Drosophila melanogaster: one gene and its partners. The protein of the gene in region 2 interacts with the protein of the main gene of each other region in a pairwise test. Each region holds a gene or a part of one and is shown on either strand. Other genes may lie near its edges.

The links. Proteins that work in one complex are often made in the same cells at the same time.
Region 1: the proteins of mex1 (region 2) and Syt12 interact in a two-hybrid assay, tested with the Drosophila melanogaster proteins (one large-scale study listed by BioGRID).
Region 3: the proteins of mex1 (region 2) and CNT2 interact in a two-hybrid assay, tested with the Drosophila melanogaster proteins (one large-scale study listed by BioGRID).

Annotation. Positions count from the first base shown.
Region 1 is NC_004354.4:13,357,275-13,362,268, reverse strand, and holds the start of Syt12 (synaptotagmin 12), read right to left. Parts: upstream 3,022-4,994; 5' UTR 2,832-3,021; intron 1-2,831.
Region 2 is NT_037436.4:15,516,910-15,521,535, forward strand, and holds mex1 (midgut expression 1), read right to left. Parts: upstream 2,684-4,626; 5' UTR 2,601-2,683; coding exon 2,548-2,600; intron 1,877-2,547; exon of another isoform or gene 1,452-1,876; coding exon of another isoform or gene 1,399-1,451; intron 1,120-1,398; coding exon 921-1,119; 3' UTR 515-920; downstream 1-514. Other genes in the region: CG13454 (uncharacterized protein), read right to left, coding at 1-117; yellow-k, read left to right, coding at 3,711-4,626. UniProt on the Drosophila melanogaster protein: Involved in morphogenesis and development.
Region 3 is NT_033778.4:9,077,041-9,082,895, reverse strand, and holds CNT2 (concentrative nucleoside transporter 2), read right to left. Parts: upstream 4,176-5,855; 5' UTR 3,985-4,175; exon of another isoform or gene 3,955-3,984; intron 2,781-3,954; coding exon 2,727-2,780; intron 2,669-2,726; coding exon 2,473-2,668; intron 2,420-2,472; coding exon 2,218-2,419; intron 2,156-2,217; coding exon 1,391-2,155; intron 1,327-1,390; coding exon 999-1,326; intron 932-998; coding exon 751-931; intron 690-750; coding exon 604-689; 3' UTR 522-603; downstream 1-521. Other genes in the region: CNT1 (concentrative nucleoside transporter 1), read right to left, coding at 1-226, 278-422.

The sequences.
Region 1 (4,994 bases), on a different chromosome or scaffold from region 2:
GGTAATTCTTTTTGCTGTGAGGGCATTTTTAACCAAGTTATACCCAAAAAACCGATCTTAATTATTTCAATTTTTGGAAAAATGGTTTCCCTGATTTTTTGTAAAAAAACTAATCGGTATTTTAATCAAAACATTGAAAATAATAATCCAAATATGGAATGTCATACCTCGTTGAGTTTGTTTTTTGAATCCCAATCGATTTGCATTCAAGTTTGGGAATTCTAGGATTTTTCAATTTTTTGCAAATTTTGATGATGTTACCCCTTACAAAAAATGCGAAAATTTGGCCAAAAATAAATTTTACTAAATCAGTTAAAAAGTGAAAGGGGTGGTTAGTATTGGTTATAAGGAGTATAAAATGGTACTAATTTTTGCTCTGTGACCATTTTTAGTCAAGTTATAGCCAAAAGAGCCAACTTGAAAATTGAGTTTTTTGCCAAAAATAGTTTCCCAGATTTTTTGTGATAAAATATTCGGTATTTTGATCAAAACATGGGAAATAATGGCCCAAATATGGAATGTCATACCTCGTTGAGTTTGTTTTTTGAATCCCAATCGATTTGCATTTAAGTTTGGGAATTCTAGGATTTTTCAATTTTTCGCAAATTTTAATGATGTTACCCCTTACAAAAAATGCGAAAATTTGGCCAAAAATAAATTTTGCAAAATCCGTTAAAAAGTGATAGGGATGGTTAGTATTGGTAATAGGGAGCATAAAATGGTAATTCTTTTTGCTGTGAGGGCATTTTTAACCAAGTTATACCCAAAAAACCGATCTTAATTATTTCAATTTTTGGAAAAATGGTTTCCCTGATTTTTTGTAAAAAAACTAATCGGTATTTTAATCAAAACATTGAAAATAATAATCCAAATATGGAATGTCATGCCTCGTTGAGTTTGTTTTTTGAATCCCAATCGATTTGCATTCAAATTTGGGAATTCTAGGATTTTTCAATTTTTTGCAAATTTTGATGATGTTACCCCTTACAAAAAATGCGAAAATTTGGCCAAAAAATTATTTTACAAAATCCGTTAAAAAGTGATAGGGATGGTTAGTATTGGTAATAGGGAGCATAAAATGGTAATTCTTTTTGCTGTGAGGGCATTTTTAACCAAGTTATACCCAAAAAACCGATCTTAATTATTTCAATTTTTGGAAAAATGGTTTCCCTGATTTTTTGTAAAAAAACTAATCGGTATTTTAATCAAAACATTGAAAATAATAATCCAAATATGGAATGTCATGCCTCGTTGAGTTTGTTTTTTGAATCCCAATCGATTTGCATTCAAATTTGGGAATTCTAGGATTTTTCAATTTTTTGCAAATTTTGATGATGTTACCCCTTACAAAAAATGCGAAAATTTGGCCAAAAATAAATTTTACAAAATCCGTTAAAAAGTGATAGGAATGGTTAGTATCGGTAATAGGGAGCATAAAATGTTAATTCGTTTTGCTCTATGACCATTTTTAGTGAAGTTATACCCAAAAAACCATTCTTAGATATTGCATTTTTGAAAAATGTAATTATTTTAAAATTTTTTGGAAATTTTTATCCAAAATTTCGAAATTAGTTTCCATAAATCATCCAAAATGTGTTTTTAGTATTGTTAATTAACTTTGTGATTTGGAACTGAATTATCGCATATTTCTTTTAGGGAAGCTGCACTGTATATTGCCAGATCCATTAAGCCTGATTATTTATTTTCTCTACTCTGTACTCATTAATTTGCTCGGAGATGCATCGTATCCAGTTCATTGAGCTGGGAATTAAATCGGTTTAATTATACATACATGCCTTGGGTAAAAGAGCATTACATTAATTTACCAAAGCATAGGGTAGCCTATTAGATACCGTGTAATACGAGAAAGGATTTACTATGTAATTGCTTAAAAGAAACTAGAGTTGCAGCTGTAGCAATGTTAATTTCCATTTTTAACAATATTATTTGATTGCAACTCAATAACAAATTAAAAGGATTTCAGATTTGAGATGCTCTTTAATTAGAGGTGTTCTTAGCTGCGATAAACTTACAAAATAAAACAGAAAATACACAATCTGTTTTATAATCCTCATAAAGCAATGCCCTTCAGAAGGCAGTAAAAAGAGCATTATATTTGGTGAAACTGTCGGTAATTTCAGTCGTAATTGGCCATTAAAATTTGGCTAGTTTAGTAGGGCCAAGTTGGTAGCACAACGCTTGTGGCTTAGAAGAACTTTTAGCCGGGCCAAGAGGCAGCAGCCAGCTGAAGTGCCACTTTTCATTAACCTACTGGGAGGTCATTCCACTGGCTCTTTGCTCTGTCTTTTGTTGCTGCAGGTGCACACAAACACACACACTCACGCAGGCTCCTCCGATAACTGATATATGTATATGTATGTATGCGCATATACCATATATATATGCTATATACACTATATTTGGTTTTGGGCCTGAAAGTGTCGCACCGAATTAGCCAGAGATGACCTCTTTTGGGCCATCAGAAATGGGACAAGCTGTGAAAAGTGAACGCCAGTCACGTTCGGCGAGTGACAACTGTAGCCCTTACCCCATTTTCCATTTCCATCGAAAAAAAAACAAAGAGCAGAAATCAAAAAACTTTTCACTGTGAAATGGAGAGTGAAAAGCGGGCGAAAGTCAAAGTAATCAGAAATGGGAAAGAGCCAGGGAGATGGAGGCTCAAGATAAAAGGCCAAAAATCTAGAGCAACGCACACAGACACACCGAAACGCAGCTCATTTGGATTTTCCTGCATTTTTCCCACTCGCACTTTTACCAAACAAAACAAAACAGAACAGAACGGAACAGAAGAAGAACTAGCAATTGCTTACCTTACTTATCCTTGCTGATCATTTGGCCACATTTAAATGGCAAATATATTAGTTTATCACTCTGATTTAACAATACAAATAATAACAAGTAGTAACGCTGCGGAAAGAGGAAGAGCAGGAAGCGGAAGTGCGGGCGGAAAATTCGCTCATTTTCGTAGACCGTTCGGTGCCAAAACTCGCGGCCAACTGGGGGAAAGCTGGTCAAAACACAGCAACAACTTTGCTCCACTTTCTCTTTGATATGCGTTTTTGCAGCTTTAAGCTTTCGTTTTGAAAACAATGCAAGCTTCGTCCTTTCTAACGAACTTTGCGTCGGCAAAAAAAGGCGAGCTTTTGGGACAAGCTTTGACACAAAGGTTAACTATTGGCGAATGCTATAAATGCACCATAATCTAAGGGCACAGCCAAAACTTCACCTAAATTCTATAAAATTAAAGGAAAACGCCATAAATGCGACTTAGGTTTATCCATAAAACGGTGATGATAAATGATAGAAGCGAGCTTTTTATGGCGAAATTTTCTGCTATTTAAATGTATTTATCTTAAAGAACTTGTACTTTCTAATAATTAACTACCAAATTTATTACAAAACGTTTTAAAAGAATTACTCTTGTTTAAAATGTGCTTAAAAGTATAAAATTAACTAAAAAATATGTTCTTTGGGCATATAATGTTTTTACATACGTAAATAAATTGTAAGAATGCGTAAATCTACTTAGAAAACAAGCGCATCTTAGAATATTAATGTTTTCGAAGTCTGTACTGAATTCATAATATTTTAATAAGAATATACGAATAAGAATAATATGTTCTAGGCGATATTTTCCAGTTCGCTCGTGTCACGACTTCCACCAAAAACACGTGCGGCGCATATCTGTCCTACGAAGGGGCTGAAATCGGCTTGGAAGGCATATAACATATATCGTAACTGTTATACTTTTCCCATTTGGCAATGCCGTTGTACAGCATGCCCATTTCCGGTAACAGCGATACTTCGGCTACTTTCCCCCAACTGTTAGCCACTTCCCCTGCCTGTTGGTCATGGAGTAACTTTTGTGGATCGCAAGCTATAGAACAGTTTGACCTTACTCAATGTTACTGCAATCCCTAATCCTGGAATTTTAACATTTGCCGAATCCGAATCGCTTTAAGCGGATTAAGAAAGCAGGAGAATGAAAAACTAAAAGAATGATAGGTGCGGGTAGGGGAATGGGGGTGCCTTCCGTCACTCCTCTCGGCTTGCAGGGTAAACGGCGGTGGGGTGCAGCGGGGGGGGGGAAGGGGGGTGAGTTCTCGAAAACCTGAATAATAGATAGATACACACACACAAGGGTCGGCCTTTCGGCCGATAATGGCTTTAATTCGTGGTCAATCTAGCGTGACTCCCCAAAGGATGCTCGGCGCGAAATGTTTTTACATCTCTCGCTCTCTCGTTGCCCCGAAGCGCCTAATAAATTTCACATTTTGCAACTTGCCGCATTTTGATTTTGCGGCCATTACGCAATTTTTGGCACTGCCGAAATGCCAAAAAGGCGAAAGGCATATATCCCAATCCCCAGCTGAGCCACGCCGCAATGAAAATGCTGAATACAAGAAAAAAAAAATGAGAAAAAAAACCACTAACGATTAAAAGCACACTCAGTTTGGATAATTTTCACAGAATTATTTCGCAATTCCTCTGACAGCAGCAATCAGCAGATTGTTCGCCAAATCAAATTGCTTTCAATCGACACTTTGGCGAACGATATTTCCACCGGACAAGGGGGCTATAGCCACGATGCTCGATATTCTCGATTGTCGGTCAAATCTTGGTGGGCAGAAAATCAAAAAAAAAAAAAATAAAAAAAAAATACAACACAATAAAATGAAATAAAATGAGAGAAATAAAATAGGAAAAGGAAAACCGCATTTCAGGCTAAAATGAAACAATAAAAACGAGTGCTGGGGTCGCAAAAATGAAAAGGTCTAAATTGCAAATGAAATGCAACCGAATCAAATAAAAAAAATAAATAAATAAAAATAAAAACCAGAAAACAGAAAAACAAAGGGGCATTCCCGAGTTGAAGAGTCAAAGGGAAAGCAAATAAATTGTACAAATTGTGGTAAATTGCGACTAACACAAACAGCAACTATGTTGTGAGTGCCACTGTATAGTATGTATAA
Region 2 (4,626 bases):
TTTAGGTGTTTCGGAGAAATCCTCGTTTCCAGGATCCCTCTTCTCGTCCCCTATTGTTAACACTTCCTTGAACATATCCTCGACGGCACTGAAGTACAGCGTGGAATCGGAGGACATTGTGAACCTGATGCTGGCGAACAACTGAGCCCAAAGTTGATTGAAGCAAGTCAAGGGGACGAGTTTGAAATGCATTTGAACGGACCACCAGATCTTGGACACTTTTCAACCCTCGACGGTGTTCTAGGCTACCTGATCCCAAACAATGGTGTACATAAAACTAGGAAAACAGCTGGAAGGACTGTGGTAATGAGGGGTTTCCCTGCTGGTAAACCCTCATCTTAAAAAAATATTTGAACTTCCCTAGCTCAAATATTTATTAGTGAATATCTCACACTTCAATAACGAAGTTTTCTAATTTCTTTCCCCCAAGCTTAAAATATTAGCTTATTTTAGATTTACAAATTTTAAAAGCCAGTATGTAGAGATGCTATTAATTAATGATACACTTACTTTTATTTCCACTTTCAATTTTCTATAGATATTTTAGTTTTATTGTCTTGTTTATAGTGTGTCATCCAGTACAATATAACTTTTTTAATCTGCCTTACATTCATACATATTATACATTAAATATATATTGTGAATGCTTTACTGGGTTTCGAGTTCAAAATGTATTGTAAGGTATACAGTGAGTCACATTTTTTGCCGCTCCAACATTATCTACCTTTCTAAAGAACGCACAAATTGCCCATTCAATTGAGTCCCAAACTATCTATAGATAAGAAAAAATCCCATAACGAGCATCCGACGCGATTAGATTAAGTCATGCACTGAACGGCTTTGGTTCTTAGTTCGTTTCAATTTCGATTTCGACGGAGTTATTATTAATATGGCCTATAGTATAAATTCATGTCCTCAGATCAGTACTCCTTGTTGAAGTAGTCGCGTATGCTGCGCTTCACAATGGGCGTCAGTTGGGCGACCTGCTTCTGCACCTCATCCGTGTTCTTATCCTTGTGATAGAAGACCGTGAAGTAGACAATCAAGCCGATCACCACGACCATCAGGAGCGCAGAAAACACGATGCTCAGGAGCATCTTGCAGGCGCAGGAACAGCAGCTGCAAGGATATGGAAAGATCTGATTAGAAAAGTTTTACACATGATCAAGATGGAGATATCCTGGATGTCAGATCTTGTTGTCAGATCAGTTCAATTAGTTCATTTCAATCAGGTTGAATCCCGAATACTTAGGATGCTTGTAACTGAAGATACCCATTTCTAAATTTCCCAAATTGGCTTCATCCAGAGCTGGTCAAGAGCTCTCACATATAATTTATATATATATAGTATATATTTGTATATGATGATTAGTGAGCCAGAAACCGATGGAAACTTACCAGCAAACCACTTTGCCGGGACATTTGAGGCATTCACAGAGAGCGTTGCACATGGTGATGACTTTTTTGGGTTATTCTATTATAGATAGATATACTGTACAGTATATTTCCGATTCCCGATGCGTGGTTGACCAACACAAAATATTAACTGAAGCGGGTAACTGTCATCGACCGCATTTTGGGGTCTACAGGTATTGAAAGCTTTAATCATATCGGCCGAAAAAATAACAAATAGACTGATAACAAGTCGACTATAATTATCACTACGCCAGTGAGAAAAATGGGTGAGAGTTATTGGAAAACGGAGCTTACAATGTTTCCATTCGACCGAGGTATCTGTATCGTATTATCCATCATTTTCGTACTGGTGCATCCAGCAGAATAAAAATACAGAATAAAGCTATTTGCCACTTAAACATCTCGAGTGAAGAGGGATTGATCGTAATACTTATCATATATATGAAATATTATAAAGAAAACTACTGTTAGCACGACGATAAACACAATGACAACGATTAAGCGTCGATTCCAGCACATAATTCCCTACATTTGATTTTATTGACTATTTTGTTCCAAATCAAAACAAAAAAAAAATAACCAAAGAATTTGATTAGGGTCGCAAAGGTAGATGAATCATTTTTAACTAGAGTAGGGCGCAGAATGTTTGTGACAATGACAAATTGTTTTGTTCGTTTAAAGATATGTATGTCTCATCCGTTCTAGATTGTTTAAAGACAACAATCAACTTTGTGGCAATAGAAGCGGTTTTTACCAACAACAAACTTTCTATATTTAAGGCATTACTGAGCAGGAAGTAATATACCTGTTATCATTGATCATTAACTATGGTAGGAGCTTTCTAGAAATTCTGCTCAATATGAAGAGTATTGTAATGCCTCGAGGATTTAGCAATCTCTATAAAAAAAAAACCTATTAGCTGATAGTGGAAAGTTGTCAATTAAGCTGCCAATACCAGGAATAGTACTTGAAATACCACGAAAATAACGCTGTTGGGGGATTTTTCATCAAACCTTATCTCTATGGTAAAACCATAATAGTTAAAAAAAGCCTAAAGTCGACTATCCATTTTTGTGTAATTATTTATTTAATACTTAATTTAAAAGGATATTCAATCTGATGGAAACTTACCAGCAAATAACTTTGCCAGGACATTTAAGGCATTCACAAATGGCGTTGCACATGATGATAATCCTCGTTTGAAGTGTGTGTTGTATGAGTATTCGATTGTGCTCCCGAAAATGATTTTAGCGTATTTCGATCTGATCTTGGCCAACTCAAATGGATAACTGACTCTACGCGCAGTGCCATTTTTCCCATTTCGGCGTGAAAAGTATGAAAAGCTCTCAACCTACTGATGGAAAAAGAGAGAAACCGATAAAGATTCCAGTTATAATCAATAAAATCAGAAGAGAGGTGTTAGAAAATAAAGCTTACCACATTTTTCGGAGTGGGTGGATTTGTTTCAGATTATTTGAAGTGAGTATTATAATTTTTGCAATAAATTATACAATATCATTTAATTAGAAAAAATCTAAACATATAAACGAAAATGTAATGTAAACTAATGAAATTATTTTTTTTACAACGATAAATGCTCTATAACGAAGAAAGTTTCCAGAATAAAATATTTCTTAATGTTTATTCGTGTGATTAAATAATTTTAATACTTAAAAAAATACGAATGTACTAAAAACTGAAAGCTAAACAACATTAATTGATTCCTCGGGGGTTCACTTTAGCTTTTTGGCAATTCCCAAGTGAAATCAGTCATCTATAAGCAATCTTTATAATGGCTGTAAAGATATGATAGGGTTTTTTTGTACTTTTACGCGAAGAAATACTCGTTAACATTAAGGTTATGTTAAAACTAAGCACTTAAGGTAGGTTCAGTTCACAGGAACCTTATCAATATCGCTAAAGTTCGACAAAAATAGCCTTATTATGATTTATTTATTATAGGTTATTATGGTGGTACAAAACAACCATTTTGTTGGTTTTAACTTTGATTTATTTTGAAAAATATAACAATCCAATTTTGGGTAATTTTAAGAGGAAACTGTGTCATGATTTCGATATTCTCCGATTGAAATTGGTAAGCTTTTTTTTTTTGGGACCACAAGTGAATAGAGAAACACTCCAATGCTGGTCCCCATTAATGCAGGTCGCCGATATATTCGGCGACACCCGATCCCAACTGCTGATGTAGACACTTTGGTGGACTTCTTGAACGGGCACTTACAACGTAAGCAGAGTTCTCTAGCCCTAAGCTCAGTCTGAATTCGCGTTTAAAGATGGTCACACATGGTGTCCTCGGCTTGGGATTTCTCATTGTTGGTCTAATTCTGGCCACGGACGCCTGGCTGTTATCCGAATCTGGTTTAAACGAATCCAGCTACAAAGTCCGTCATCTATCGATGCACTTTTCGCGAGTGTTTCTCAGCGTAAATGTAGAAAGCAACGATGCGCCCACTTTGATCGAGGCGCAATGGCCGGTTTCCTATTTTCCCATGCCCACTGTCGTCTTTCCCCACATCGATGTTCATTCCATGGGGGATCATGATGATTGCTCTCTGGTACAACAGGCACACTGGTCCCAGGTGGATGCACTGAGTCGACTGTGGGTCATGGACATCGGATTTCCCGGCAGCACGTGCTCACCCCGTTTGTTTGTCTTCGATCTGATGCGTAACAACGCGGAGCTATTGAGAATCGATTGTGGACACCATATAGGTGCTAATGACACCCACTTTCTGACTGTCCAAATGGGACCCAAGAGTCCGGGATGCGAGCACGAGCGCCATATTTACTTCATCCTTGGAAAGGTACCAGAAATTCTAGCCTACGACATCCTGGAGCAGACGTGGCACCGCCTATCCTTGGAGAGCAATAAGTACGAGAATATGAATCAATCGTTTCCCATCAAGCCAGTGGATTTCATCTTCGGAATTCAAGGGGAACTCATACTCTCCGACCAGGATGGTGATCTATACAGTACGGTGGACAGACTGGAAATTGAAGGCAAAAGCGAATTAGCAAGCAAACCAATTAACAATAGCATTAAACTCACACATTTGGGCAGTCTTCTGGGCAGCAGTCGCAGCATGATCATCGACAATTTCGGAACATTGTACTATGTTATCCCCAAATTCGGAGCTGTCGTACGATGTGCCAAACTAGCCAACATCACAGCCGAGGGCAACGAAATCA
Region 3 (5,855 bases), on a different chromosome or scaffold from region 2:
TAGTACAGCCATAGGATATAAAACAAGATGAACAAGACGATGAGAAACCCGTATCCATGACACCAGTTAATTTGGCACAATAGTTTTGGCTTAACCTCTGGCACTGGCTTCTCAGAAGTTTCTTCTGTGTCATAATCATCATCATCATCATCTTCGGTTGAGTTATCTATCGATTCGGTTGTGGCTTCCGAGCCCCTATTGGGCCAGCATTCTTTGGAATCCTTGTCTGGGTTTTTCCTCATAAACATTTACATTCGAACTCAAAGGGGTAACTTACCGTAAAAGATGAAAATGATTGTGGCTGCCGTAAAGTAAGATATGAATATGATATGGAGCAGCACATGGAGTACCAGATAGGTGATTCGCTTTGCCCTCGATGGCGGAGGCTTTTCCTCCTGTTCGCCTTCTATTGGTTCTGCCATTGTGTGTATAAATGAGAAACAGTGTGTAGTGTAAAGAAGTGTTGTGTGGATCTTATGACTTATATCCCACAGCCCCTTAGTAAACAAATAGGTAAAAATAATCCTAAACATCTTTAATAAATAAGAATTGTATTTTGCTAAATTTGATCAGCTAATTATCACGAACTACAACTTTAAGGAACTAAAACTGAGTAACATTCTTTCGACCCAACTTCTCGAATATCCTGTTGTAGTTCGCCCGCTCGTCATCTTCTTGTATAAGGATGCCTATAATAAAGTAAAACTAGTTAAAATAATAAGAAATATTTATGATCGTTTATCGACTGACCTGCAAAGCTGGCGGATACGAAACAGACTATGCTGCCCACCACAAACGCTCGGAAAGCCACTGCTGTAATGGTGGAGCGACGATGTGGTGCCATAGCACTGAGGGATCCGATAAGGATGCCCAGGGAACTGGGATTGGCAAAGCCGCAGATGGCGAATGTGGCGATTCCAGCGCTGCGGGCCTACAAAAATCGACCTCAAACGTTAGTTTCCAGATGAGCTATGGGTTTCACACCATCTACAACTTACAGTGATATCATTATTTTCGATGTATTGACCCAGACGCTCATAGGCCACAAACTCATTGATAATGGTTTTGGTGGCCACCACCTTGGCGATGATATCGCAATCCTCTTTTGGCACCCCCATGGCCCAGACCAGCGGGATGAACAGCTTAGAGAATATCCACTCGAAGTCGATTTGCTCGAGACCCACCAGGTAACCAAACCAACTGACCAGACCATTTAGGAAGGCGATGAAGGCGACGAAGGCGACTATGTTAGCGATAATGCCCAGAACAATGGGCACGGCGTTGCTGGCACCACTGGACGCTGCGTCCAGCAGCGAAGAGTCCTGTCTACAAGGATGACAGTGAACTAGTTAGACATTTGGGTTAAACTAGGCGCCTTAGAAATACGTACGATTTTTCCAGTTCAATTGAATCGGATGAGGTCTGGCTCTCCTCCGTTTCGGGCATGTAAAGCTTAGAGATGGCCAGAGTAGCGGGAGCTGCCATCACCGAGGAGGTGATCAAGTGCGCGGCCGATGCACCGAATGACAAGTAGGCCGCCAACACGGTTCCGGACACGGTCGCAAATCCGGACACCATGATGCTGTGGATTTCGCTCTTGGTCAGCTTGTTGATATACGGCCGAATGAGCAGCGGGCTCTCGGACATGCCAAGGAAGATGTTGGCTGCGGCCGTCACGCTTTCGCAAACAGTGGTGCCCAGAATCTGCTGCAGGATCCAGCCCAGTTTGATCACCACCCACTGCATTGTACCCATGTAGTACAGGATGGAGATGAAGAAGCTGAAGAAGAAGATAACCGGCAGGATGGCGAAGGCGAACACATTGTTGTTCACCAGGAAGTCGCCGAACACGAACTCGGCTCCATCGGTGGCATAGCCCAGAAACGTGGCCACCTTGTTGCCCAAGCACTCGAAGATTTTTCGTCCCACCTCCCAGCGGATGCAGAAAATGCCGAGCAGAAACTGGCACGTGATTCCCGTGATGACTATGCGCCAATTAATGGCTCTTCGATTCGTGGAGAAAACGTAGCCGCACAGGATGAAGAAGCAGGGTGCCACCAGGGACACCAGTTTTTGGGTCTCGTCCCGGCACTCGAAGTACACAAAGATGGCCAAAAGGGCCAGGAGCAATGCGATGCTGGCCAATGACACAACTCTGGGAAAACGAAGAGGAGTAGTTAGAAGATTTAAACATATATTTTCTTCATAATAGTTTACCTGGTTCTGCTGAAGTTGTGCCATTTCTTTGAAAATGGTTTGATATAGTTCCTGTGCAGGCTGTGCCCCACCATCGGCTTAAAGACATAGTAGTAGAATAGACCCAAATAGATGAATCCCAGGAGGAGCAGGAGCATTCCATAGCCCGTGCAGAAGTTGATGCCGCACAATGGGTTGTCTTTCCAATAGCACTCATAGTTGGCTGTAGATAAATAATGGTATACTTCTTGCTAATTATTTTGGCGATATACTTACTTATGTCGTGATAGTGGTAGGTTGCATATGAGAAGTACCCCACAACACACAGATGCAGCAGTACATAAATCGAGATCCTCACCAGTCGCGCTACTTTTGGATTCTTTTCAAAATATCCCTTTTTATTTGCCACCTCGCTGGTGTCATCCAGTGGATGTTCCGTGAATTCTTCCGAGTCACGGATGTCCAACTCCTTCTATGACATTTTATAATATTTAATCTGGTTTACAAAGCTTTTTTAATTAAAAACCTACATGATCCAGTTCGTAGCCATTGTTAATAGCTCCTTTTGATGATTCGGCTGACATCTATAACAAAAAACAAGAGAGAACGTTTAAGTTAAGTGTATCGACTATTATATACCCGGTACAACAAAGCGAGTTGTTGCTTTGGCAGCAAATTTACTTGCTATATTTTGTTAATAAGCTTTCAGCTTACTCTTAATACCTTTCTAATGGTCCAATTTGAACGAGTCCTATTTTTGATAAGCCTATCACAACATTATTTAGACGTTAAGCATGTGGGCAGACTTTAGCGATATCGGTGGGCGTGGCAACGGCTTAAAACAAACTTGCATGCCTAAAGTTGCCTAGAGTTCTATATCGAACTTCATGCGGACGGACGGACGGACAACTGACGGATCCTTATGAAGAATATACTATTTATAGGGTCAAATTCTTTCTATATATATTCTATATATATCTTATATACCCTAAACGAAACTAATATACTTAGAGAAAAACTACGAGTATGTGGTATTAATACCCAGCGACAAGTAATTTGCCGCAATCATAATCTGGCATTATCTCTTTCAAATTATTTTAGCCCTCGACTCGAGTGGGCATATATGCCAAGTGTCGCACAGCACAAGATAGGTGTGTGTTAGCTATCTGAATCAAAGTTTGGCAATTTGAACGATTCATGCCACTCAAAAGCAAGCGATAGGATCCGCGGATTCCAATTTTAAAATTTGCACATGGGCCAGGATTTTTGAATTGGGCACTTAGTTTTTCAGAGTCAATGACTAAACTCCAGCACGTGGATGGCCACTCAAATAATTTCCGGGCATTAACTTAAGAGGCCAACAACGGGACTGGGCTGTAAACTACAGCACAGGCTATAAATAATCCACTTCAATTCTCATTCCTGATAAATTCGGGCTGTAAATCCCATTCAATATAGTATAGTTCCTCGTTAGGTGGTCTTTCGGTTAGGATTTTCCATTCTGGGTAATCGAAACAGAGTTGATAGCACTATCAGAGTGGCATTTAGCCAAACTCGTGAAAGTTAATAAAGCACTTATATTTAATAGACCAGCTCTGAGAACATGGTTATATGTATATTCAGCCTCGAGAACACGTGTTTTTTGCCGATTATTGTTTTTTCTACAAAATTGACTAAAATCATACAGAGTTCACATTCAAAAACACGTTTTTTATACGAGTATTCAGTTTGTATTTTAAGTCTATATAATGATCGCACCTTGAATTTTTGGAACGACAGTTAATTCACCTTTTTACTGTTTGTTTTGCTTCGTATCTGATGAGTACTATAGGTTTGTTATGGCCGAAACGGGTTTTTAACGTCGTTATTGTCTGCCCGAATACAAATGACTGATAAATGCATCTGTTTAGCCAGACTAAAAACGTTGGCTAACTGCCATTGTAGCTCGTTGAAACTCGCGGCAAGACTAAATTCGGTTTGCTCCGAACGGGCCTTTTTAATACAATCGCTACTACACGGTATCTGATAAGAAGGTATCAGGTTTAGGATTCGCACTGCCTTTTTTCTATCTAATAATTTATGGTGTCTTGATACCATTTGGCCTTTTTGATTTACAGAAATATAAGTTGAGAGCAAAGCTTACCTCAAATTAACATTAAAGCTCGTAAGAAATTTGTAATTTCTCGATTTTAATATTTAATGAGGCTTTTTATTTCATCATAGCAATCAATGGGTACTTGAGTACCCAGCTAATACTGTGTGATACCGATTGGTAAGGTGTTAATTTGGTTTAACTACACAGTGAAATAATTATTAAATAAATATTAGCTTGATTGTACCAACTCAATTTTTACAAATTGAGTTTTAACTTAAAGTGCAATGCCGCAAAATGGATCACTGATGAAAAAGATCAATTTAATATCAATTAAAAAATTATAATATAAAATAAAAATAATAATTTAATAACATTTGAAAACAGGCAGATAATATTAGAATCCACATTGGTTTCAATCATCTTATACTTTTCTTATTTTAATAAAAAAAAATTTCTTTGAAGATATTATAAATAATATTTATTGAGATATATCAGTCTAATATTAAGTTAATGATGATCAATTGCCCTATTTTCAAGTAGGTTCGATTGATAATCTTTTTAAGTTCTTTATACTTATTTTTCCCTGTGCATCCTAATACACTTGCGATGGCAGTGTACCGCTAAATAGGCAATTGAGATGACATGTTGCCTGTTTTATCAGCTGGCTGTTAACAATGAGATGTTCTCGGCATGCGTTCTAGGCCGATATTAGTGCCAGATAATTTTCAGAAGGGCCATAAACCCCTCAGCAGATTGAATGCGATAGCGATGACGTTTGAGGAATCTGATAGCTATATTGCGATAGAGGAAGGCTACCGCGATACCGAGTCGTACACCCGCCCATTGATAAAGACTTCTATTGGTGGTCGGCGATTAGCAGAATGACACAACTGATTGGCCAATCGAAGGGTGCAAAGTTAAAGGAGGTTGCCAATCGTAATTCTGTGCGATTTAATAGGAAAGAGCATCGTATCTTATCGTCGAGCCCCTCGTGTGATAATCTGATCCAAAAGGGGTATAATACAAGAAAGTCTGTAGTCAACTGGCTTTATATTTGATTCGCAACTCTACACGTGTTCGTGCGATTTAAATTTATTAATAGATCATATTCATCTTTATATTTCATTTATCGACTTGCAAATGCACTTAGTAGGTATGGATATGAAGGATTAGGGATACAATGTGCTTTGACTGGATGAACATGTGGTTCTTAAAATCTTAAAACCAAAGGGTCAATGGGTTCCAATGGGGAATTTTGAGATTTAGCAGAAAGGCACTTTAAACCTAGTGACTTATTTATGATGTAACACAACTATATTGCGGGACTTTAATCACTTATCAATAGAATCGAAAATGCTTGATTTGGTTCGTTCTTGGCTTGCTGGTTTTCGAGGGAATTGTGCAGAAGTTAGGGATTGTAATGCTTCGATAAGGCATTGATTAATTTTGTTTAGCATCTAAATATATTACTTAAATTCGTATAAATTGTTTTCCGGGCTTGCCTTCCTCTTGAGGCTTTGACAATTTTTGTTGCAAAAATGTGCGACTTCAACCCCATCTAAAT